Linked DNA regions of Caenorhabditis elegans. The protein of the gene in region 3 purifies or fractionates together with the protein of the main gene of each other region. This does not show direct contact. Each region holds a gene or a part of one and is shown on either strand. Other genes may lie near its edges. The genes, in order: pyp-1, tag-276 and ubr-1.

The links.
Region 1: the proteins of ubr-1 (region 3) and pyp-1 fractionate together in Caenorhabditis elegans (co-fractionation; one large-scale study listed by BioGRID). This does not show direct contact.
Region 2: the proteins of ubr-1 (region 3) and tag-276 fractionate together in Caenorhabditis elegans (co-fractionation; one large-scale study listed by BioGRID). This does not show direct contact.

The regions. Positions count from the first base shown.
Region 1 is NC_003282.8:9,992,959-10,002,069, forward strand, and holds pyp-1 (Inorganic pyrophosphatase 1), read right to left. Parts: upstream 5,006-9,111; coding exon 4,799-5,005; intron 4,753-4,798; coding exon 4,601-4,752; intron 3,834-4,600; coding exon 3,703-3,833; intron 3,656-3,702; coding exon 3,165-3,655; intron 3,113-3,164; coding exon 2,946-3,112; intron 2,902-2,945; coding exon 2,766-2,901; 3' UTR 2,427-2,765; downstream 1-2,426. Other genes in the region: uba-1 (E1 ubiquitin-activating enzyme), read right to left, coding at 1-204, 252-391, 1,771-1,965; C47E12.3 (alpha-1,2-Mannosidase), read right to left, coding at 6,349-6,561, 6,617-7,042, 7,087-7,361, 7,414-7,866, 8,384-8,463, 8,507-8,643, 8,686-8,805, 8,854-8,856. UniProt on the Caenorhabditis elegans protein: Catalyzes the hydrolysis of inorganic pyrophosphate (PPi) forming two phosphate ions. Plays a role in intestinal development and subsequent normal secretory, digestive and absorption functions. Required for larval development.
Region 2 is NC_003280.10:12,244,878-12,252,225, forward strand, and holds tag-276 (uncharacterized protein), read right to left. Parts: upstream 4,266-7,348; 5' UTR 4,202-4,265; coding exon 3,806-4,201; intron 3,526-3,805; coding exon 3,445-3,525; 3' UTR 3,248-3,444; downstream 1-3,247. Other genes in the region: Y57A10A.24 (EB domain-containing protein), read left to right, coding at 64-198, 399-605, 1,265-1,374, 1,435-1,549, 2,039-2,383, 2,577-2,658; parn-2 (Target of EGR1 protein 1), read right to left, coding at 7,086-7,289.
Region 3 is NC_003279.8:3,811,335-3,819,974, forward strand, and holds the start of ubr-1 (E3 ubiquitin-protein ligase ubr-1), read right to left. Parts: upstream 5,476-8,640; 5' UTR 5,463-5,475; coding exon 5,309-5,462; intron 5,255-5,308; coding exon 5,004-5,254; intron 4,798-5,003; coding exon 4,495-4,797; intron 4,438-4,494; coding exon 4,146-4,437; intron 4,087-4,145; coding exon 3,445-4,086; intron 3,088-3,444; coding exon 2,759-3,087; intron 2,710-2,758; coding exon 1,948-2,709; intron 1,608-1,947; coding exon 1,384-1,607; intron 1,336-1,383; coding exon 562-1,335; intron 505-561; coding exon 346-504; intron 298-345; coding exon 127-297; intron 1-126. Other genes in the region: npp-11 (Nsp1_C domain-containing protein), read left to right, coding at 6,745-6,856, 6,904-6,996, 7,068-8,547, 8,598-8,640. UniProt on the Caenorhabditis elegans protein: E3 ubiquitin-protein ligase which is a component of the N-end rule pathway. Recognizes and binds to proteins bearing specific N-terminal residues that are destabilizing according to the N-end rule, leading to their ubiquitination and subsequent degradation.

The DNA.
Region 1 (9,111 bases), on a different chromosome or scaffold from region 3:
CGATTGTGACCAACATCTGCATCGCGCAAGTAGTATTGAGCCGAGAGATCAGACCATTTTGCAAGCTTTGTGTCATGAATAGTAACATGCCGAACTCCTCCAAGAATCAGATTCTTTGCAATTTCGACTCCTACAGAACCGAGACCAGAAATGAGAACGGAAGCAGTTCGGAGGTTGACCATGGCGGATTCGCCGAGCGTGTAACTGAAATATTCAATTTTGTTTTAGAACAATAGAAAAATCAAACTAACATTTGACGGGAGTAAAGATTTTTGTCGAGAAGCTCATCTGAGTTCCCACCAACTCCTCCGGCATTATTGCTAGTGTCCATCTTCTCACCGTCTTGTCCTTCAGTGTTTTTGGTCGTCTCGACGTTCACGTTTCCAGACTGCTGAAAAATCAGATCATTACATGATATAATTGACATGTTAATATATCTTAGAGCGAAATTTTATATATTTTGAATTGTCATGAAAATCGAGTTTTATGGCAAATACTTTTCAAGTTTTCATAAAACTGGAGTAGAAAAAAGAGTCATTAGTGTAGTTATAATTTGTTTCTAATGCGCGACAGTACAAAATAAGTCATAGTGGAACACAGGGAAATTACAAGAGAAACTACAAAAACTGAATGACTTCGTTGCGAAATTGAAAAGAGCGAGGAAGAATAAAGAGAGAGACGCAGGCAAAGAAACAACTTGACTGTCAAACCGCCCGTTAGTGTCCTTTCGTAATCCGAACCTAACTAGGAAGACGAAGAAAAAAGATTCGTCCGAACTTTCTATAAACGAACACATCGATCAACAAAGCGCGAATCACATTCTAGAACATTATTGATTGCAATCGTTGGCCTAATAACTTGTGAAGTTGGAAAACTCTACGAAACTGATAACGCTTAGGAAAAAAACTGCGTTGAATACAGAAAGTCGACTAACCATTCAATTTTCACAACAAAAAGTGAGCAAGAGCGGGAACGGAAATATGATGACTAACAGAGACGCAGAGAAATAGAGAAAACATGGGATTGACAACAAATAAATAGAACTACGAATGAAAATACACTTTTCAGGGTTTCACTGGCCGAAACTAAAACGTAAATTGTTATTATGTATCGGGACAATTTTACCACCTCAGTTCATCTAATGAAAAAGTCATCAATTTATAACCTCATTCTCTAAAATATTTTACCTGATTACAAAAGTAGACGCCTAAAACATCAATTTCAAACAATTCCAGAATATTCTTAAAACTTACCTTTTTGGGCATATGCCAACCCGGATCATACTTCCTGATATATTCCATATACATAATGAAACAAGGACTAAATTAAAATAGAGAATATACGAGTAAGCATTAAGGATATGTATTTTCTATCCGTCAACAAAATCCCAACTATTATTATTCATTGTCGGCTACGAAGCAGTGTATCAGCGCCAGCTTCTGCGTGGTTGCCACGGCAACTTTCCCTCTAATTTTCTGGGCGAACGAAGATTAAATATAAAAGAAAGCGAACGGAGAATGCGTTTATTCTTGTGATTTGGTAGAAAAATCAGTTCTCATTTTGAATGGGGTTTTCACCTGCTGTTTCGACTAAAAAATCAGAGTGAAATTCGGCGAACACTCATTATCTTTTTGTTGAAATAGCAAAACAACGGAAAGAAACGAGGATTCTTAAATTAATTGAATCTCTGAGAGCTTTCTTTTCAAGCTTCTTATGAATTAAAAATTGTTAATTCAGATTTTTTAAAAATAGTTTTCCATTTCAACTTACATTGACCCCAGAAAGTGTTTGCTGCTTTGGCGCTCCGACGATCGTTCCGTTTCCTACGACTGTTGGTTCTTCTTCGTCGTCAGTCTTGGATCGTTTCGCCGGAGGATATTCGTTTTCTCCTTCACGCTGCAGCTTGTTATTGGTGGCCTTGTTGTTAGTTTTGTTGGCCGATGTTAGCTCAAGGATGGTAGTCATTAATCACGAAAGATCAGAACCACTGAAAATAGTTTTTAATTGATGAAAACTGATGCAGTTCGAATAATGGTGGCTTAAAAGAGAAGAATCTGATGATGAGCTTTCGGCGAGAATTGAGATTGAAAAGCGAATGATTTTTAACCACTGCACGTTTCGAAAAAATGCGAAACAAACTGTTTGTGGAAGATTCTAGAAGGATGAAATTATTGATTTTCATTTGAAAAAAGTGGCGCGCTTGCGAAATGAAGAAAAAGGAACATAAGTGGAAAATGGCGCCAAGTTTCTCATAGAAATATTAGCAGTAAAATAGAGCGCTTTTGCATTTTTCTTCTTTGACATAAAAACATCGCTATCGTCGTCTCGTAGTGTTTGTGTTCCTTTTTTGCGAAAGAAATTTCTCGATATTTCTAATGTATTTTTAAAAGTTCGTTCGTATATGTTTGAAATCAGCATTTTCAAAATTTAAATTGTTTCTTCTGTTTATCGAGTTCGTGCTGACTCTGCTCACTGCTTTTTCCAAAGGAACTTTGAATTTAAAAGATCTGTTTGGATTTGACAAATAATTCACGTATGGTGGTAAACCAAAAAGAAAACATCACATACATAAACAGAGAAGATCCCCAATTCAATTTTTAAAAGTTTTTCGAATAATGAAAAAAACAATATAAAATTAAAGGAATCAAATAATCAAATACGTTGGAACAAAACAAGAGAATGAGGGAGTCAGTATAATTTCAGGGAGCGACAGTGCAATAAATTTAAAGTTTTGAAGATGCTTCACGGCTTCCAGGGCGTACTAGTCATCCTTGCACAAAATGCCACTTATCAACATCTCCTGGTAGTGGAGCATTTGCTCCATGTTCTGGGGTAGCGCCAATGGCAGTTGCGGCCGCTTCATCAGTTCCTTGGTGAACAGCTTCTGGAACCCGAGAGACTCTGAAATTTGAAGTTTAGAATATTAAAAGCGATGAAATCCCTACGTGTTCAAGGATGGGTTTGCTTCCTTGATGAGAGTCTTCCAATATTCGTTGGTCTCATCGATGACTTTCTCCGCGTATTCTCGGTTCTTGAACTCTCCATTAAAAGCGAACTCGTTGGCTGGTTTTCCTGCTGGAATCTTGTAATTGCGGAACCATTCAACAGATGCCTGAAAGAAAAAAAATGAAACGTATTTTGAAAAATGTTTAATCGAAACTTACAGCCAATAGTCCAGGATAAACCTTTTCGACGTCATCAATGTCATTCAACTTGTCAGCATTCTCATCGTTGACATCAATTGCGACCAATTTCCAATCGGTCTCTCCTTCGTCAATGAGAGCCAATGTTCCGAGAACTTTTACTTGCAGAACAGCTCCCCGTCCGGCAACCTTTGATCCAACTTCAATAACATCAATTGGATCATTGTCTCCTTTAGCTCCAGTGTCAGGAACAACATGGTTTGGATCTTCCCATGTCTGTGGAAGAGCTCCGTAGTTCCAGATGTATCCTTTGTGTGGGAAAATGTTGTGAACAAAGCGAGCTACACCCTTCTTCTCATCTTGCTTGATTGGCGAGAATGGTTCCTTGGTGGCCATTTCCATTTTAGCATTTGTCCAACGTGGAATCTCAACAATCATGTTGTAAACTCTCTTGTCCTTGTTGGCGAACAATGGAATATCGTGCCAAGGAGATACGATTCCTTGTGGTCCCTCTGCAAAATAGATATTAGAACCAATAATTATAGCAGCTTCGACTCACTGATATAAACTCTATAATCCAAACTATAAAGAGATCCACGCTCGACGGCTTCGTAAACTGCTGAATCTCCGGCTCCGGTGCTCATTTTCACAGCTTGACTTTGCAAAATGACAGCAGTCTCCGACAAGGGCCTGAAAAATAATAATAATGCGAATATTGAAAACTACATGTGTTTGCGAGTGGAATTAGATGCTATCATGAAAACACTTCTACACTCATAACAGCCAATTATAAGTATAACAAACTTGTTTGGGTTTCGGAAACAACGACCGCAAAAGAGCCAAGAGAACATTTTTCACAAGGTTTTTGTTAAACTAATCTTTAAACATTTTGCCACTCGAAACTATTAAAACGTGGATTTGCAAAAGTTTTCACGTTAAAAGTTTAAAAAAAAAATACGCCAGAATTTAAAATGCGAATTCAAATAAAGACAATAAAGCAACTTGAAAATAAATTTCCAAACACAAAGTGTCATTTTATAAGCATGTGTACTGGCATCTTTGAAAAGTATGTTACATAATTATAGGCAACATTTCTTTATTCTTTGAGCATTTGGTGACGGACTAGTCTTATCAGCTGACACCGCCCGTTTGCAATGTGAGGTGACGGGGTAAAGTTTAGTACGCCTACACTTCATCTACAAGGGGCTGCTGGACAAACTGAAGTTTTGGAGAAGGGTTAAATATTTTTAAACTACGTTTTTTCTCAATATAAGATCTAGCAGCGATTCGAGCATGACCCAGATTTAGATTAAATAATTGTTTTCTTTTCTTTTCCGCTCTACCAATGGATGTGAGTTATTAGAAAGTGATAGAAAACATCAATAAGGATTATATAAAACGTTATCCTCCCTTAAAAACGACACAGACACAAGAAGGAAGAAACATCAACACGCAACCTCGTGTGCAGACTCCTCTCCGAATTGGCTGACATTTGTCGTTGAGCTCCCGAAGAAGAGGTGGAGACGGCTGTGGTAAGACTGCCACGAGGAGAAGGTAATTGGACAGTTGAGCTGCCGGAATCCATTGAAGTGGTGTGAATCGCAGAAACCTACACATAACCAAAATAAAACTAGAACAATACTCATCAGTCTTGCCTGTGTGACGTTTGTAACTGGACGCGATGTCCTTGAAGTGGCCCATTTCTGTGAAGTATTTGAACTGCTGGTGGATGTTGTTGCAGTGTTTGAAGATGACGAGACAGTGGCGATGGCGCTTTCTTGGCTCACGGCACAGCCCATAATAAGACGAGTTGATAACAAAAATCCTCTCGCCGTGGCCACACTTCGACAGCTCAGTATCATCTAGGAAGAGATGAGGACAACTACAGACATTTGTGAGATATATGCGGAAAACACGAGAGACGCTGTGGCGCATGCACATTTTCAAGCAGTTGGTGATATGTGTGGATTTGGTTATGTCGTCATGATAGAAGCAAGATTAAATTGAAAATTGAAACATAAGGCAGGATAATATCATTCAACGATTATCTAAACCCTGTGGCTCAAAACAATCAGCATAAAAAACTCTCACCTGGGCCCAAAAGAAATCCTAATTTCAGTCATGAAATTTTTGAACATCTCAATATAGATAACATCAACTCAATAGAGGTTTAAAATAAATTTGCACAAGCTAATTTTCTTGTCTAAAAGGCTCTTCGCATGTTTGGTGATAAATGGCTTCTTGTTCAATGGCACGGATAAAAGTTATGGAAGACATGCATTTTCAATTTCCTTATCGCAATAATATGTAGCTTGAAAAACGCAGAAAAAATAAAATTAATCGTTGATGTTCCTAATAAATAACTCCACTCAGTATTGATCAATGTATTTAATCACTCTTAGCAGATAATTTTACAAATACTGAATACATTTTTGAGAATTAATATGTATAAAAAATAACTAAAAATTTGATTAAGATAAAAACAAAACAAGAATAGCATTGCCAGCGCAGCAATTTGTAAAAAATAGGCCTACGAAAATATAGCAGTGTACACACACATCACACCACAAACTACATGAAAATGCAGACGCAACCCTCAGCTACGGTAACAGTGAAATATTTAAGTCTGAACGCATAAAAATAAAATAAAAATCCCAGACAGTTGAGAAAATATGCTAAATATTAATTTGCATTTGAAAACCACCAAATAGGAACAGTCGAATGCAACAAACCTCGTAGCCAAAAATACAGCGACTGTGAAAAGTATAGCAGCCATCATCGCGATCAGCGGCTTGTTTCGTTTGGCGATCAACACGAGGCCCATCAAGAAACGACCATCACTGAAAGATCAATCAAAGAACACTTCTGGGAGGAGAATCTAATATTGAAAACCGCTTGGACTTGTTTTTGCTCTGTGAGCAGTCTTCTCTTATCAATACCTCTCGGTTTCTCCATTCGCCATTGTATTACACTGATTACAAATCACAAACGATGTGTCATAATTGTTGGTAAAACTTAAACTCTTATTGATTTTAGTAGAATGTAAACATATGATTTCATTATTCTATCTTCTTTTGATTTATTTCTAGATCATTGAAATTCATATATTTTAATGCTAACCGGAAAAAAAATATTGCTATCACAGAACTAAAACCACATAAAATATAAGGCAACAAGAAATCAGATATGCAATAGTACAAATAAATTATAACCAATCGTGAAGAACCGAATCAACTCCAATAACTTTGAACAATTCACGCATTTGAGAATGACGAAGTGGTGGGGTTCCAAAAGTGAAGTCTGTGGCAGTTTCGCAAAATGATGAGTTGGTACGTGGCAATGGTTTGAGAGGTGGATCATATTGAGATGGCGGAGTAGGAGGCAGATTGAACAGCGGGGATATTGGAAATATGTGACCCTGAAATTACTTTTCTAATTGTAAGTAAGAATTCCTAGATCAGCAATATTCATACCTCTGTTGAAAAAAGAACACTTTCTTGCTGTTCCTTGTTAATTGGATGATCTACATCGAACAACAAGTATAAATACTTTAATGTTTCTGATAAGAAAAACGATTCCATTCGATCTTCAAGACTTCCATCAATGACATCATGCACAGTTGCGAAGCCACATTTTACTCGAGTAATTGTTTCTAATGAATCAAGAATTTCCAGTCCAACATGCTGATAAAATGGATTTTTCGTAGCAGTGTACAATAGATATGTAGATTCAACAAATTCTGGACGAAGTGGATAAAATGAGACATCAGGAGCTTGTAACTGCCAATTGAATCGTTCGGGTAGAACTCCGTATTTCTTCCAAATTGCATAGTAAAGGGCATGATGGCACACAGCCTCGTCGACTTCACCAGCCAAAACCAGAACTCCTGCGAAACTTGCCTGAAATTGAAAGTTTACTAGAAACAACAATATGTAACTGTCACCTGAAGAGAATCGATCCATGTATTTGAAGTGCTTCCATCTCTTGAATCAACATTTACATAAATTGGAATATCACCTTCAAGACTGGAACACCTAGAACGACCTCGACGCATGTATGTTGTGATACGAGCAAATGATTCATTATACATATCTAAATCTCGTTGATTACCAAAAAGGATGTACGACTTTAGCATATATTCATAGAATGAATCAATTCCAGCACCGAGGCCTGCTAAGTGACCAAGCCATTCTCCAGTTTGAATGTCAATTAAGTTTCCTGAAATTAGATGTATAAAGTTTTGCAACACAATTTTTAATTTTCTCAATACCATGCAATCCAGTGACCTCATTTCTTAAATTCCACAACTTTTCATTAACTCGTCGAGCAAGTCGTTCATAGGTGTCATCTCCAAGCAGCTTTGACAATACACCAAATTCAAGCAATAGACTCCCCGCGCCTGATGTACATGTAGAGTTTGTCGTTCCCGGAAGAATTCCCTTTTGCAAGTTTATACGGGTGTAAGGAATTCCGGTGGCCGTTCCATCGAACGCTGGTAAAAGTCGCCCAGCTAAATCATGGGCAAGTGTTAAAAGTTCTCCACCGTAGTCTGACATATAGAAAGGACCAAATCGATTAGTTTTATCGGCAGCAATCATATGAGCAGCCAGAAGACCACCCATCACTCGAATAGTTGATTCGAATACTTGAACTGTTGTATTCTTTTCAAACGATACTGTTTTAATTACAAGATTAACAGCTCGTTTGAATTCGTCTGCGTCTCCTGAAAATTTACAGATTCAAAATATATGTTTTTTCTAATGTTGGAGTATCGTCAGTAGCTATTTTTGCATTGTGCAGATTCAAGCCCCTAGAATCTTTAAATACTTTTTTTTGGTTTTTTTTTGGTTCGCCACTTTTTGATCATAAATTTAAAAAATTCAGAAAAAAATTAGTTTTAATATGATAGTTGGATATTTTCGAACAAGCGGTTTTTCCCTACTGCAGTTTTAAATTTATGATCAAAAAGTGGCGAACCAAAAAAAAAAAAACAAAAAAAAGTATTTAAAGATTCCAGGGGCTTGAATCTGCACAATGCAAAAATTTTCAACGTTTTGGAACATTTGACAATTACCAAAACTTTGAATTAAATTTTCGAAAAAATCTAAACATTTTGGGTTTGTTATAATCAGACATGTTGGGCTATCATGAGTATTTTTAGACTAAATTTCCACTGACGATACTCCATTTTTTAATTTTGACAATTAATAATAACTTTTGAAAAAAATTAACAAACTTACCAAAAACCACAAGCGAATCCAAAGTGTCAATTAATCCCAACGAGTAATCTCCAAGCACATCGTTAACATTAATATTATCTCTGAATCTGTTATTGAAACCTCTCTCTTTTCCTGCTCACTTACGGATTATCATGATCGTGTCCACGGCCTCTACAATGAATTGGATCTAATTCATCTGCTGGAAATGCATGTTCCATGTAGTTATCCCATCCAAATTGAAACATTTCGCGTGTTTTTGCCAATCCATATTGCAAATCCACCTGTCAGTTATAGTTTTAGTTACAAATTAGATGCACACATACATCTGAAATTGACGCATATTTTATTTCCTCCTTCGTTAAAAGAAATGGATTTTTCGTTGTTTTGAGTGAGCACGTCGTAGAGAACAATGCGATGAAAATTAACACATTTTTGACAAATTTCTGAAATTTATTAATTAACTTTTTTTTCCAAAGATAATTTCAGCTCACCATACTAATACCATACTGCGTTCGATTTGTTCAATCTAAATTATAAGTAGTTTTGTCCAGTTCCCAGTTTCAGTATTGATAGAAAATAATAAAAATCGATGAAACGAGTGAAATAATGCATGCGACAAGCGTTTGATAGAATAGTGACACGTCAGCTCTCCTCCGAAATTTTGAATTTTTATCAATAGGATAACAAAAAAACGATCCTCATGGCAGAAGGTAACCGGTTAACAAGAAAAAAAACAATTTCCTAAGCAT
Region 2 (7,348 bases), on a different chromosome or scaffold from region 3:
ACATTTCAACTAATTTAAAAAAATTAAATTCGAAAATTTTTTTTTCAAATTCTATATTTTCAGAGTTTGCGCAAAATTCCGCACCAGTAACGTAGAGGTATGCTGTCAAAGTTCTGACGATATTTGTGGTGTTGGAAGTCAAATTTTGATGAATGGATTGGTGCCGAGGGACTGTAACAAGAAGCCATGTGGGATGGGGTAAGTGAATTTTACAGCTCAAGCCATGCTCTTAAAATAGCCAGGAGCTAATTTTTTTTGCTCGAAACTTTCCGAAAAACATCTAAAACTTGGAATCAATTTTTTGATTTTTTGAAAATTAAAGTTGAAATTTCACAAAAATTTTTAAACATTTTCAGAACTTCTAAACTAAAATTGCACCGCAAATTTCAAATTTCCAGCTACGAATGTTCGCTAACCCCGACGGGTCTTCGTGTATGTTGTTCGTTAGCCCAATGCCCGTCAGGAGTGTTTGCGAGAAGTGTGTGCGCAGCCGGATGTTTGAGAAATGAAAAGTGCATGGAAATTCAGAATGAGATGTGGTGTTGTCCATCCGAGGAATCATTCGGTTCAAGAATTGAGATGGTTTGTAGGAATGGGGAGAATGGGTAAGTTACTACATTGTACTGTAGTACTGTATACTGTATAGTGTACTGTTGGGGTACTGTAGCTCAGTTTCCGTTTGTCAAAAATTATCAAAAAATTTAATTCAGTGTTTATCATCCAGAAAATAGCCTTAATATACCGAGTATAACTGTAGAAAAATTTATGGAATTTCTCTAAATTTTTCTAAATTTTTAACGATTTTTTTTCAATTTTGCAAAAATATTTGATTTATAACACTAAAAACTATTCAAATGCCAGAAAATGGAGCCGTAATGACCAAATATATCTGGAAAATTTTTAAATAAATTTTCTAATTTTTTAAAATGATTTTTCGTCAATTTTTAAAAAATCTAAGAAACGGCCGAATTAAATTTGAATTCCCGCGCAAACCATATATTTCGGCCGTTTTTTAAATTGTTGAATAATTGAAAAATCATTTTAACAAATTCGAAATTTTTTTATTAGGTGCTTCTATTGAATTTTTCTACAGTTACATTCGGTATATTGAAACTATTTTATGTCATTTAGAGCAAAAAAAACTTCCAAAAATTTTATTTCCTCGAGTTTTTTTAAAATTTCAAATGTACTTGATTGTCTAGATTACTGTAGAAATGCTTATGACTCAATTACAAAAAAATCCCAGTATTGATTCTTATTCCAGAACCGGTGAAAAATGTGACCCAGCTTTTCCGGCGTGCTCACAAGGAGCATTTTGTGAGCTGAACAAGGAGAAGACCGCCCATATTTGCTGTAAGCGGTATAAAAATCGACGTGAGTATTTTATTGCTTAAACCTATAAAAACTAAAATTCAAGAAAAAAAAAAATTTCAGTCGGCAACAGCCGTAAAACCCTTCTACCCCCTCCATTCTACTACACTACAACTACTATGAAGGCTCCCATAACCATAGCCACAACTACTGCAGAACCATACCCTTTTGAATCTGTGTAGGTTGCTTAATTAAAGGCAAAGTAGCGCCAGAGGGGAAAGTGTTTAAAACTACTCCATTGGTGTCAAAATGATCGAATATCATTTTAAAAAATTTCAAAAAATTTTTGAAATTTTTTTATTTATTATCAAAAAGTGACAATTACTCAGTTTTTGCCACTCATAATTTTGGAAGTCAACCAAAAAAAAATTTTTTTCTACATTTTTTATACTGTAATTTTTTTTTAATTATTTGTATTAAAAAATTGTAGGGGTTGGAACATGCGAAATTGCTTTGGATTTCCTCAAAGGCTCATATTTTTCAAAATGTTTGCAATTTTCCAAAACTGACCGGGAATAATGAAAAATCTAAAAATTTTTGGACTGTTTGTTAATGATATTTGGTCATTTGAAATAATTTTAAGTGTATTTAGACACAATCCCCACTGGCGTTACTTTACTTTTAAACCATCAAAGGTATCTTAATCATATCTTAATATTTATTACAGTCCAAACTGCCAAGACCCTGAAGCCCGTCCACTCATGGAAAACGGCTTCCCATACATTTGTGATCATATCGGAGATCCGTGTATTCTTCGATCAGGATATTCGTGTCAAGAATCTGATATTGATGATGTCTATGTGTGTTGTACTATTCAAATGAACCGAATCCTTCCACCACAGATTCCAATGATTGGGCCATTTACGTTTATGACGTCATCAACTACTACAACTACTGAGAAGCCGATTGAAGAGGAAGAAGTGATTGCGCAGCCGACATGCCCATTTTCATATATGCCGTCGAAAAATGTTAATCAAGATGTGCAGCGTTGTCTATCACTGTTTACGTTGGAGTGAGTTCCAGAAAAATAAAAAATAAAAAATTTTTTTCGATTGTTTTTTGAAACTCTAAAAATCAGTATTATCTTATTATCTTTATCCAATTTTTTAAAATTTTTTTTTAAATCGGAATTAAAAAAATTCTAACATACATATATTGTTGAAAACGTTTAACGTTCAAAAATCGATATTTTAAAATAATTCCAGCTGCCCACTCGGCTACACGTGTCTACCATCTTCCACTACCGACAGTTATCTATGTTGTATTCGGAAGCCTGTGGTCTATTAGGCTTAATTATTGATTTTTGTTTTTTTTTTCGAATATTTGTGCCAATTCTATATTTTTTAAATATTTTTTTAGCTAATGAACATGTTTTCAAACAGTTTAATTTAAAAACAGCCTAATACAAAAACTTGGAAAACTAAGCCTAAGCCTAAGCCTAACCCTAAGCCTAAGCCTACACCTAAGACTACACCTAAGCCTAAGCCTAAGCCTATGCCCAAGTCTAAGACTAAGCCTAAGCCTAAGCCTAGGCCTAGGATAATGAGAGCATTTTCAGACTGCTCTATAAAGCCAAACAAAGATTTTGCAATAATTCATAACGCATTCGATTCACAATAACAAGTTCTTTAATAAAACTATAAAAATGTAAAAAGTTAGGAGTCAAATTTTTATTTATTTAACACTGAAAAATTGGAGTGTGTAGATAATGAGAGCATTTTCAGACTATGTTTTTTCAGAGCTGACGCCAAGCTTATGCCTAAGCCCAAGCCTACGCCTAAGCAAAAGCCATAATTCTGAAAATCTAAATTCAAATGTTAGCATCCAAGTCTGGGCTCAACGGTCCAAGCCTGAAAGCTTAAAAACCTAAAGCCTGAATATTTTTGCAAACATAAGTAAACTGAATTGAAGTTTTATCTGTGATGTACAGTTTTAATTGACAAGAAACATTGCAATCGGGATTAGTTTTTTTGAAAAACTGGATAATAAAAATGAGGGAAAATTAGTTGAAAACACAAGAAAATAATGACAGATTATGAAAAATTGGCAACGAATATAATAAGTTTGGTAAAATTATACGACTGGGGAGGAAGAAGCCGACGATTCTTCGGATGAAGAGGAGCTTGATGGTGACGTGGATGATTGTTTTGTAGTCTGGAAAGTATTAGTTTAGGTGGTTTGGTCAGGTTTAGAAATTTTTTTTTAAATTTAATTTGGTGCGAAATTTTATTTTTATTTTTCAGGCCAAATTTACGGCGCAAAATCGGTGTAGATTTTTTATTTTGAAATTTTTTTAAATTGCAATTTAACTTAATATGTAGGTATTTTAAGTACAAAAATAATCGAAAATTATTTTATTATTTTAAAAATTGAGTTCGTTTTCAGAAAATTAAAAAGTTCTCAGCAAAATTTTAAAATAACAACAAAAACTAACCTTGGAGAAATTTTCCGCTTCCTTTTGCAAATCCGCAAAAATATTGAGCACATTGGCGAAGAGCACCTTGTTCTTCGAAGCCTCCCGCATCTTTTGCTCCACAACATCCTGCTCCAACTCCTGAGCAGCGAGACGACGAAGCTTCTGGAGCAACAAGTTGACTGGGTACTGGTACTCATACCGTCCATCATACTGGCTCTTGACAATTTGCTCGGTACGGCATTCCCGGAATACTCGAATCGGGCAGTCGAGGAAGAGAAGACACTCCAGTGCATAGTACCGGTTGTGCTCTTTGAGCAAGTAGTCAGTGTATTTTCTGACTTGTTGAGCAGGGCTCAGTGGAGCTGGGACTCTTGGGAGAGCAGCATTGGAGACCGGCTTGGTGTGAGATGGCATTTAGAATGAGTTAAATAAAAGGTGAGAGAAGAACTGAGATATGTGGTTAAGAATGACACTAACCTAGACCTAACCCTGTAGGACGCTGCAATTTGGCAACAACAAAAAATCGATATATGGGCGGGGGGGAATGGGCTATGCAACGTGGCAATGGGAAAGCAGAAGGAAACAATGGTTATTGATTGGTTTACGATTGTGAATATATAAATTTGGTACATACGTACATTTTTGTTTGAGAAATAAGGGAGGGTTCTCCCTGAGGAACATGGAAAAAAGTTGTCAAAATTTAGGGGATTTCAGATTTTAGTTTTTAAAAATATTGGAATTTTCAGAAATTTTAATTGGATACTTTAATTCTAACGGAATGTTTAAAGAAGGAGTATTTAGAAAATTTGGAATTTGCATAAATTATTAGGTTGGTCAAAATGTCTTTGCAACTTTTTGAATTTTTTTTGGAGAGAGTATTTATTCAAAGCGAACGAGATTCAATGGGTAATATATTCACCATTAGTGTATATGACTTCTTGCCAACCCAACGAAGGTTGAGCAATACCCTCCGCACAGAACTCCTGAGATTAGGAGGCAAAGAAGTCGTCCCACCACGTTTCGACGATCTTTCAATCATGAAACTTCTGCCCGGTAAGGTGATTCTGGAGAGAGCGGAACAAATGGTAGTCAGTAGGAGTCAAGTCCGGCGAATGCGGTGGGTGAGACAAAACTTGGATTCCGAGTGTCTGGAGCTTCTGGCGGGTCCTCAAAGTTGTATGCGGTCTTGCGTTGTCATAGAGCAGCCTAAATTTTGATTCTCTAGGGTGATGTAATCGATGAGCACGGACCATCTTTTCCAATTGAATAGAGTATAGGCCAGCGTTGATTGTAACGGAGTCTGGAAAAAGTCCTCGGAAAATTACACCCTTACTGTCCCACCAAATTTAGAGAAGCACTTTTTCTCTTGAAGTTCCCCTTTGAGGTCAGGTTTCACGGTTTCCTCGACCGGGACCCACTGTTTCTTTCTGGTATAGTTAACATGCAATACCCATTTCTCATCTCCAGTAGTGATATCCTATACCCAGTCTGTTGTTCGTTTCCTAGTGAGCAGCGAAAAAGAGAGGTCACAAAACAATTTTTCTGAGAATCGGACAAATTGTGAGGAACGAGATGACCGAACTTTTCTACCCTTCCGGTTTCGCGGAGATGGTTGATGATGGTTCTTTGGAGATGCTTGAGAGTCGCAGAAAGTTCACGGTTCGTTGCTCTTGGATCATCTTCCAGGGCTCTCGAATTATCCTTATTGATAGCCAAACGAGACCGACCGGATCTTGGTTCATCATCGAGATCGTAGTTCTTTTTCGTGAACTTTTCGAACCAAAACTTTATGGTATTATAGGTGACAGAATTATTGCCTAACACTGCACACATGTTACCACGAGCTTCGTTGCAATTGCAGCCTTGGGGGAACCCATACAGAAAACCCCTCGGAGGGTGTGACCTTCGGCGAGCAAATTCTCGGTCATTTTGAACAACACCCAAAAGTTTTTTCAAATGTATTAAACATGCACATTACGTACTATGCAAATAAAAAAACAGAATAGGAAAATAACGAGTTAACGCTGAGAAATGAAGAAACATACGAATTTTGCAAAGACTTTTTGACCAACCTAATATTACATTTTACTTTTTTTTGTACTTTTTCAAAATTTCTGCAATTATGGGTTTTCAGGTATTTTTTTTGGAATCTTCCGAAATTGTTTCAGCATTTTAAAGAAGTTTTTTGGAACTTTCAGAAATTTTATACATTTTCTGATTTTTCTAAAGGCTTTTCGAATTTGGTTCTTTGGGAATTGTCCGTTTTTGTAGCTTTTGGTGTTTTCTGAAAATTTTTATTTTTATGGGTTTTTACACGTGGTGTCGGTTTGATCTATGTAGATCTACAAAATGCGCGGGAGTTGAGACGCAGAGTTTTCAATCTGATTTCGCATGGTTAAGAACGTGCTGACGTCACATTTTTCTGGGTAAAAAAATCCCGCATTTTTCGTAGATCAAACCGTAATGGGACAGCCTCACTCCACCTTTTTTCAGAGAATTTATATTATTTCAAATGTGTTTTTGGAACTTTTCGGATTTTAAAAATCCCGAAAAAAAGTTACATTTTATTTTTTTTCTTTGATAGCAATTGTATTTATTTCTGAAGAAAAACTGCGCATACATAGGAAAAATAAGAAATTTTCAGCGAATTTCAAATTTTTATATTTATCAGAAATTATCACATTCTTCTACATTTTTTTTTGGAATTTTTAGAAATTGAGATTTTAAAGCTAAATTTCAGGCGATTTCGGAATTTTTTAAAAATTTGAGCTATCTAATTTTTCAATAGTTTTAAAATTTTTTTCAGAAATTTCAAAATTTCAGAATTTTGAGAAACGTTAACTAGTTATTTTAATCCTAACAGAAATTTCCAAAATTAATTCGAAAATTTTGGAATTTTCATAAATTCTTATATTTTGGCATTTTTTAGAGTTTTTGGACTTTTTCGAAATTAAAAATTGAAAAAAAACTGTCAGATTTTTCAAAATTTCCGAAATTTTTGAATTTTCAAAAAACGGCGAATATCCAGGGCGAATTTGTCGGTTAAAATATACAAAGAACTCAAAATAAGTCTATTTTTCAGAAAAAAATAGGTTGGAAACAACAACAAAAATTTAAAAAAATGGATTGAAATCGAAACAATGTGAATTTAACAATCAAGATCAGGTGGGGGAACATCAATAACCGAGAAAAAGTGGAAATTTTCAAATTTCCAAAAAATTGTATTTAGATGGGGATTTAACGTACCAGAAATAACAACAACAACAACAAAAAAAATCAAAATTCAAAAATAAATTATTCAATCTTCACAAGGTGTATCCTCTTTCTGAACACTTTTGATAACTGTAGCGGCTGCATTCATTCGAATATAGTCCCGTTGCTTGTTGATCTCCACCATTGCCTCCAAATGAGCATCAATTTGCTCGGATTGTGGAACTGGGACCGGTCGGTGGCGAAGATGCAATGGCTTATCTTTGGCGGACAGTGGAACGCGGTTTAGGAACTGAAAATTGAAAGAATTCGATTTTTAAATTTTTTTTTGTAAATATTATAATTTTCAAG
Region 3 (8,640 bases):
CAAAGCATTTTGCTTCAATTTTGCGGAAAATCGGAAAATTTTCGTTTTTTGACTCTTGACCGTAGCGTCCGGAATTCTATTTTTTAAAATTTTTTGGCCAGTTACTCCATTTTCTATAGAACGCACCCATTTTGATTCGTCAGCTGATAGGCTGGCAATACTGGAATCGCCGCATTCGACAATCGTTTGCACAACGGACACTGATATTCTCCATTCTCGGTATCAACCATTTTATGCGAATGTTGACCAACTTGACGGGCTCTCAAACTCTCGCGAGATCGATTCGCTTCGGCGAGACTGAAATTAAAAAATATTTAGACTTTTTTGGATTATAGAATAATGAACCTTCGATAACACTCATAATGCATACTATGTGAACACGTGGAAACATCAACTCCATATTGAAGTGTAGCTGGTGCTGTTAGAAGATCACGTGTAGATATTGTCCCACTTGAAGCCGTCATGAGCTCTCCATTTTTGTTCTTATGAGTGAAAAGTTGAGATCTGAAAAAAAAAAGAAATTGTAAAATAACTTTTAAAAAACTCAATTAGCCAGCTTACTGTTGAATAAACGCTGCGCAAACCATTGGTTTTCCCTGTTGCGGTGCAATTATTTCATCCTCTTGACACAGAATACACGTCAATGTTCGGGGTTTCACGAGCTCCGCGTGCCACTTATTTGCACCGATACAAACCGGAAAATCGTGACCAACTTGCTTCACAACATCTTCATCGAAGAAATGCTTATTATCATAGTCGTCCTTCTTCACAACAGTTTCAGATTTTTCAGAAGGTGTCTGTGATTCGTCTTTCTTCTCTTCGTCCTCAATTTTCTTCATAAACTTTGACTGCATATTCGACATTTTTGCCATCGCTTTTTGTCTCATTTCCGCCGCCCTTGCAGCTCGCTTCGCTTTGATTTCTTCTTCGGATTGTGCTGGCTTGTTTTCAGGAGCTGGAGCTGCTTCAGGAACACCTGCTCTAGCTTTAATCAATTTTCTGTATTTCTCGACGGTCACTTCGAGAAGGATCGGACAAATCGATGACTCTGGTTTTCCAACAAGTCCTTCTAAAAGCGACAAAAGACCGATCGATTCCTCTGCACGTTGTGTAAATCCGAAAGATGGATTCTTTTCCTCTTCGTTTAACGCGATTCCGATCAGATATAGTGTTTTGTGGAAGAGACGATCACTTGAGAAACGGCTACGTCGAGCTGTTCTATCGATAATCAGACGAACAACGTGAATAAGAACATTTGTGGTAAGAATTTCGGGAATCCGCTCGAAAAATGTTTGAAAATCCGGAAGAATAGGCGGCGCACAAGCTCGAACCGACCTTAAATGTATTGAATTTTGATAGTAAAATATAAACTCAATAACTCACTTTTCCATTTTCGCACGAACTCTTGCCTGACTCTGTTCAGCAGCTGACTGATCACTTTTTGAATAATGCATGAAGAATGGTGAATAGGTTGGAAGGCTCGACTCTTTGCAATGGAATTGTCCAGCTGTGGTGGCCAGTGGCTTTCGGAAGTCTGCAACCAGATTTACTGCTTCATGAAGAGAAAGACGCTTCGAATTGATATCATGTGACATTTTCTGTTGAATCTGGAAATTTTAGAAGTTAATTTGAATAAAAACCTTCATTTTCTGTTTTATTATACCCAAAATGGCCGATAATACCTTAAAAACGAAACTTAATTTTATTTTAAAAGGCGGTTCAAGAAAATACAATTTCTTCAACTTTTCCTTGCCGCAGCGGTCGAATTTGTATTAGACTATCGTGTTATTTTTTACATTTTTCTTTGTTGATTTAGACACAGGCTACTAGTATTTAAGGAAATTAGGTCATCTTTCGAAATTTTGAACAGCCATAAAAATTATCTGAGAAATTTATTTTCCTTATGAAATTCGGTCTTTCGAGGCTTCGTAGTTAAAAAAGTCTTACATGACTGAACGTATGAGATCCAGTACAAAGAATATGGATAACTTCTCGTTTCATCTGATCCATCGGACGAGTCTTTCCAACTCCGTATGTATACCGTTCACAGAGAATCAGAATCAGACATTGTATGAACTCTTCAGCGATCATCACCAACGTCTTACTCAGATCCTCTGATTCCGGTTTCGCTGGTTTCTCATTCGCCTTGTCTTGTTCAAACTCGGATGTAGCCCATTTAAAGAGACGGAATCGATGAAGAAGGTGGAAAATGAATTTTGTTGACGGTGTGAGTGCAGCTCCTACTTGCATCATCAGAACATCACGATCGAACATCTCATTTCGACAGAGTGGAGAGAAATAATTATGAATCTGGTTTATCAGCGAAAATCCATTTCTTCTCCAAAGTGTCGCGTTGGATTGTGCACACAGGACGAGCACTCGGAGACTCAGTTCGTAGAGATTCGTCTCGTCCTTACAGTTGATAAGTTCTTTGATTCTTTCTTGATTCAAACTCGTATGTGAATTATTACTTCTATTCAACAAAAATCCCGTGTAATTCGAAGCACTAAAGAGACCCGCGATAATTCGAACAACCGGCTGATGGACCGAGGTGGATGATTTAAGCACGTCAAAATGTGATATTCGACATGATTCTCCGTTGATAGTGACCGTCAATTCATAGGTATCCTCCTCGGATTTTGTATAGACAGGTGGCATACGATTCATCAATTCAAGGCACATTATCATTAGACGATTATGAACTTCTTCCTGAAAATCCAATTATTTTGAGATTTTTAATTACTTCAGGAAAACTCACATTAGTTTCTGCCCATCCAATAATCATCGAAATCGCGTCTTTCAATCGTAAAAGGATATTGAACGCTGTTTCCCACTCAGATTCCCACACTTGATGCTCAACGGCTTGTCGTTTCACCTCATCCATTCCTTGCAGATGCTGCAGGAAAAGCAGAAAATCAGCGAATCCTTGAACAAATCCATCGATAAGTTCTCGATTCCAGTCGCTTTCCGATGGCACAGCATTCAGGATATAGGCCATATCTCGAGTGATATGAAGGGATCTTCTTAATTCTGGTGGAAATGAGCGACTTGTGAAATCAAATCTCGCGATTTTTCCGTCATTGTAATCTGAAAATTAGAGAAATTCAAATATTGGTTTGATACAGGGGAGGGCGGCTTTATTTCTATATTTCCGGCAAAACGGAAATTGCCGAAGTTTTCGTTTTTTCGGCAAATTGTGGTTTTGCACATTTCTTTTTTGAAAATTTGAGAATTTCAATTTCAATCGGCAAAATTGTACGCATCGTATAAATGTTCTCACATCTATTTTGAAAAGTAAGCAAATTTTATAAAAATAGCTGAAGAAAATAAGAAAAAATTTCAAAAAAGAATCCCAGTTTTAAGTGTTTCCGTCTAACAACTTCCGGAAACTTGCCAAAAATCAAAATTTCCGCCCACGTCTGGTTTGATATTTTCAAAACTCACACTTCACAAATTTATCAGTCTGATCCCGAATCGCTTTCGATATCACACTGAATGCTTGATCTTCGGCGACAAGTTTCCGAGCCAGACTAGGAACAGTCATGAATTGAACTGATAACCCAACAACTGAAACATCCATCTCATGATCATCTTTAATGAAATCCTCGTAAATTTCATTATAATGTAGCATAAAAGCCTTTGCAAATCGAACTTTCTGATCATAAATCATGAAAACTGTCCGCATGAGCATTTGATGCAAAATCGATCTTCCAGCTTTCCACATTTGTGTATCCTGGAGAAGAATATTCTCTAGCATTGTGAATGTTGAAGAATCTCGTGAAGGACCTGGAGATTCTTGATGTTCTGAAACTCCTGCCAACGCTGCTGTTATCTCTTCTTCATCATCCGCGTCAATTTCCATTTGCAGAGCTTCTCCACCAATATCGTCGTCATCCATTTCATCAACATCCATTCTTCCATCAAGTGCGAATAGTTCTTCCTCTTCATCATCCGGCAAAACCATAACATTTCTGATAATTCCGGCAACTAGACGTTGATCCTCTGACTTCATTTTCCGCGTGTAATTCTTTTTCAGTGCAAACTTTGAACTCAGCAGAATTTCTCCAACAATTTCGCGAAGGGGAGCTGAAAATAAAAACACGATTTCGAATAATGAAAAGAAATAAAAAGAAATAAAAACTAACGAAAAACATCCATCTGTGTGTTGAGCCAAGTAAGAAGGGAGATCGAAAAATTCTGAAGCGCGAAAAGCGTGGTATCCATAACCTTAACACTTAACGGTAGATTATGATTCGATGATCTTCGAATTGACGTTGGATCTCGAGCTGTTTTTCTCTGAACATCATCCTTAGCTTTGGTGCAATCAGCCTTACTGCCAAGTTTCACAGCACTTCGACCTTCTCGATCGACAATTGTGGCTACAAGCATCGCCTGATCCTTTGTACAATGTATGTACAATTCCAGAACTTTGATCACCTGGAAAAAACGGGGAAATTGAAGATTTAATTGAAATTCGGAATATTAATTACTAACAGATTCATAAGTGTGAGTTTCATCATTGTAAAGAACCGTCAAATATTGCTGTGCCTCATTTGTAACCTCTGGCTTCATTTTCTCGAAAATTTCGGGAAGTTTGAGATCATCTTTATGAGTGATCATTGAAAGGGAAAACTGTAAAATGATTTCCACCAGCTGTTCACATCGTTTTTTCAATTCTGGAGCCAACACTGCCGCCTCTTCATCGTCCTTTTTCTCGTGATTTGCACATGCGTAACCTTCTGTCCATGCATCTGCATCACCACAGTCACAATATCCCGAACCGGAGGAAGAGTGCATCTGGAAATTTTTTTTCAATTATAAATTGGATTTACTTAAATATGCGTGTTTTATCATTCATATTCGCTCAAAATAATCAAAAACTTTTCAAGATTTTGTCTATGTTGGTTTAAAATTTCGAGAAAAAGGGCAAGTTTCGGCTAAAATCTGAATGTTTTTTTTCAGAAATTTTCTGTGGAAATTGATTCATTTTGAGGCATCCTCACTTTGTATTTATGAGATTTATGAATTGAAACTTCAAAACACTGAAGACACATGACACATGTCCCATCAGTGGCACAATCCAGACATGTATACGTAAGTTCTCCGTTTTTAAATACATGGCCACAAATTTGTCCCCGTCTTGCAGGATCAACTCCGGCAATGCCATTCATTGCTTCCAGTGTGCTCTTTGTGTTCCGAACGTCTAGTACAAATGCACTGACCAGTGGGGCTAGGAGAATCTCTCCTTGGGAACCTGAAGCAAAATTGGCTTTTTAATATATATGTTTTTTTTTTCAAAAAAACCCACCTAGAATTCGTTCATTCGCGGCTGTATTGTCCCATGGCAAATCCGAATTCACTTCGAACACCTCTGGGACCTGTACAAGCCAGTGCTTGAGCAGCAGCTGGCGTACTTGGGCCCATTCACCCTGTCGAGCTGATTGTATTAAATCGACAATCATTCCATTAGTCGAACTGAAATCGGTAGCTTGATAAAATAGGAGCATTTCATCTAAGAAAAAGAGGATTCGTAAAAGAAAATAAAATATATTGATTATTTTCCGACCCCCCGATTATGCTGCTGATGACCATATCAAAATAAGCGAACGAGAGGACAAAAAGCAGTGATGGGAGGCAAAAATGATGACAGTGGACACTAGGAGAAAGTGAAGGAGATGAGAGAGAACGGGAGGATATAGATTTGCTTCTCTCTCTCTCTGTTTTCGATGCGAGAGTGTTGCCGCAGATAAAGAGCTCTCACGGACTCGGTGCAATGCATCGTGGATTAAATAATTCAACAATGAGGAAATTGAACTATTAAAAATATTGATTATTTTTACGTGTCAGCGAATTCACTGGCGAAGCAATAAAAAAAAACTTTTTTTTAAAATCAGACTTTAGAGCACGTGGACTTTGAATGTTTCACTCATATAACGTCAAAATAATTTAAAACTATATTTTAATAAAAGTTATTTGACTTTAAAAGCAATAAAATATACTTTTTCACCGAAAAAATAACTGATTTCGCGAAAAAAAACAATCTAAAAAAATAAAAATAAAACCCTTGGGAAGTGGATCGTGGCGAGACCCTGAAGGTGAGGCATGCGCCTTTAAGTGTTCGGACTACGGTACACAAATTTCTCTTTTTGTTTTCAATTTCCTAATTTGCGTGGATCGCTGAGAGTTGTTAGATTTTTGAGTTTGTATATAGTTTTCTTTTTTATTTTCATCAAAAATTAAAGTATTTCTTCGTGAAAAGTACTTGGTCAGCAGGAAAAAAAGGTTCTCCCGCGTTTTTACCCCTTTGTGATAGAAAACTTTGCATATTCAGAAGCTTGCTCATCGTTTCGATGATCGAGATCTTTCTTCACATTTCATAACTTTTTTAAAATATCAGTATAAAAAATGGATCAATATTATAAGTTGTAATCGAGAAGTTAGAATAGCAATAGAAACCACAAAGACATTCGGGCCCAAAAATATTTATATTTTCAAACTAACTGCAGCACATGAAATTATCTTCGATTTTTCTCCTTCACGCCGACGTCGCGTGCTCCTCCCAGCCGCCGGCCTAGTCTGCGGTGTTTTTAGGCCATCATTTTCGCGCGACCACCAAATCATTTTTCGAATCTCGACGCGCTCATTTGTGCACTCAAATGACTATTTTCTGCCTCTCTGTCGTTTTCTTTTTGTCAAATAATATTGCTGCCCTTTAAAAATATTAAAAATATCATTCCAGATCAAATGTTTGGAGGATCTGCACCAAAACCGTCGATTTTCGGAGGAACCGCTGCTACCACAACAGCCTCATCTGGATTTTCTTTCGGTAATTCGAGCACATCAACAGCGAACACAGGTATCGATCGATGAAAAATTCAACTAATTTATTTTTTTCGTTTTTAGGCGGAAACACGAATACTACCGGAGGTTTTTCTTTTGGATCCGCACAGCCGAGCACTGGAAGTACTGGACTTTTCGGAAACAGCACAGCTACTGGTAGGTTTTTGGTTTAATAAACTTGTAAAATACGCTCCCGTATTCAAAAAGTATAATTTTAAATTTTTCAGGCTCAATGTTTGGAGGCTCCTCTGCTGCAGCTCCAGCCCCAGCGTCTGCTGGAATCTTTGGAAATTCTGGTGCCGCGGCGCCAGCTCCCGCTTCAACGAGCATTTTTGGAAGTTCTGCAAATTCAGCAGCACCTGCTACAGTAACGTTTGGCGCAAGCGCACCATCAGCTGGTGCTGGCATGTTCGGAGCTAATAAACCAGCTGCTCCAACTGGCGGCTTGTTCGGATCATCCACAAGTACCGCAACAACTGCACCAACTGGCGGGCTTTTCGGTAGCTCAACTGCTGCGCCATCAAGTGGATTATTCGGATCCACGGCCGCTCCAGCAGCACCAGGAGGACTATTTGGAAGCACTTCCACCTCTACAGCGGCTCCATCCGGCGGCTTATTCGGATCTTCAGCTGCTCCAACTTCCACAGCCCCAGCTCCTTCTGGTGGTTTGTTCGGGGCTGCACCAGCTACTAGCAATGCTGCTCCAACCTCTGGATTATTCGGAAATTCAGCACCTGCTGCGACAGCTTCATCTGGTGGACTATTCGGCGCAGCTCCAAAGCCTGCAGCTCCATCGGGAGGTCTTTTTGGTTCTACCGCTCCTGCAACCACCGCTGCAACTACAACTGCCACATCAGGATTGTTCGGAGCACCAACATCTGCTCCTTCGTCCGCTCCAGCCACTGGTGGTCTTTTCGGAGCCTCTACTGCTCCCGCCGCTGCTACTGGAGGTCTTTTCAGCATTGGTGCTGCTTCAGCATCCACTCCATCTGTTGGATTGTTCGGTAATTCTAGTGCTTCTACAACCGCTGCGGCAGCCCCTGCCACCGCCCCAGCGGCAGCTTCAACTGGAGGATTGTTCGGAGCCACCACCGCCGCAGCCGCAGCACCAACCTCATCTACAACTGGGGGATTATTCGGATCTACCGCCGCTGCTCCGGCCGCTTCACTTCCAACCGGAGGTCTCTTCGGATCGTCAACTCCTGCTAAGACCCCAGCCGCACCAACAGCAGGACTCTTTGGAGCATCATCGACAACCACCACATCAGCTCCAGCTACTGGATCTTTGTTCGGAACAGCTCCAGCAACCACAACAGCTACTAGTGCAGCTCCAGCGGCTTCTACTGGAGGATTGTTCGGTGCTTCATCCACAACTACGCCTGCTTCTACAGCTCCGACTGGTGGATTATTCGGAGCAGCAACCACAACTGCTCCCGCCGCAGCAGCTCCGACTGGTGGCCTGTTCGGGGCTGCGACTACAACTGCACCAGCAACTGTAGGTCCGACCGGTGGATTGTTTGGAGCAGCAACTACAACAACACCTGCTACTGCCGCTACATTGGGACAAACTCCATCTACAGTGTCAGCAACTCCATCTCTTCCAACCACAACCAGCACTACTTCCACTCTTCCAAAGCCAGCAGAAGCTACTCCAACTCTTGGACTTGGCCTAGGGCTCACTTCAACACCATTGGCTAAGGGAACTGGGTACATTTTGGTTTACTTTTTAAAAATATAAAAAAAACTCTTAATTTCAGATGGACAACATCAGGACTTAAAGGAGCTGCAACTACATCTGCA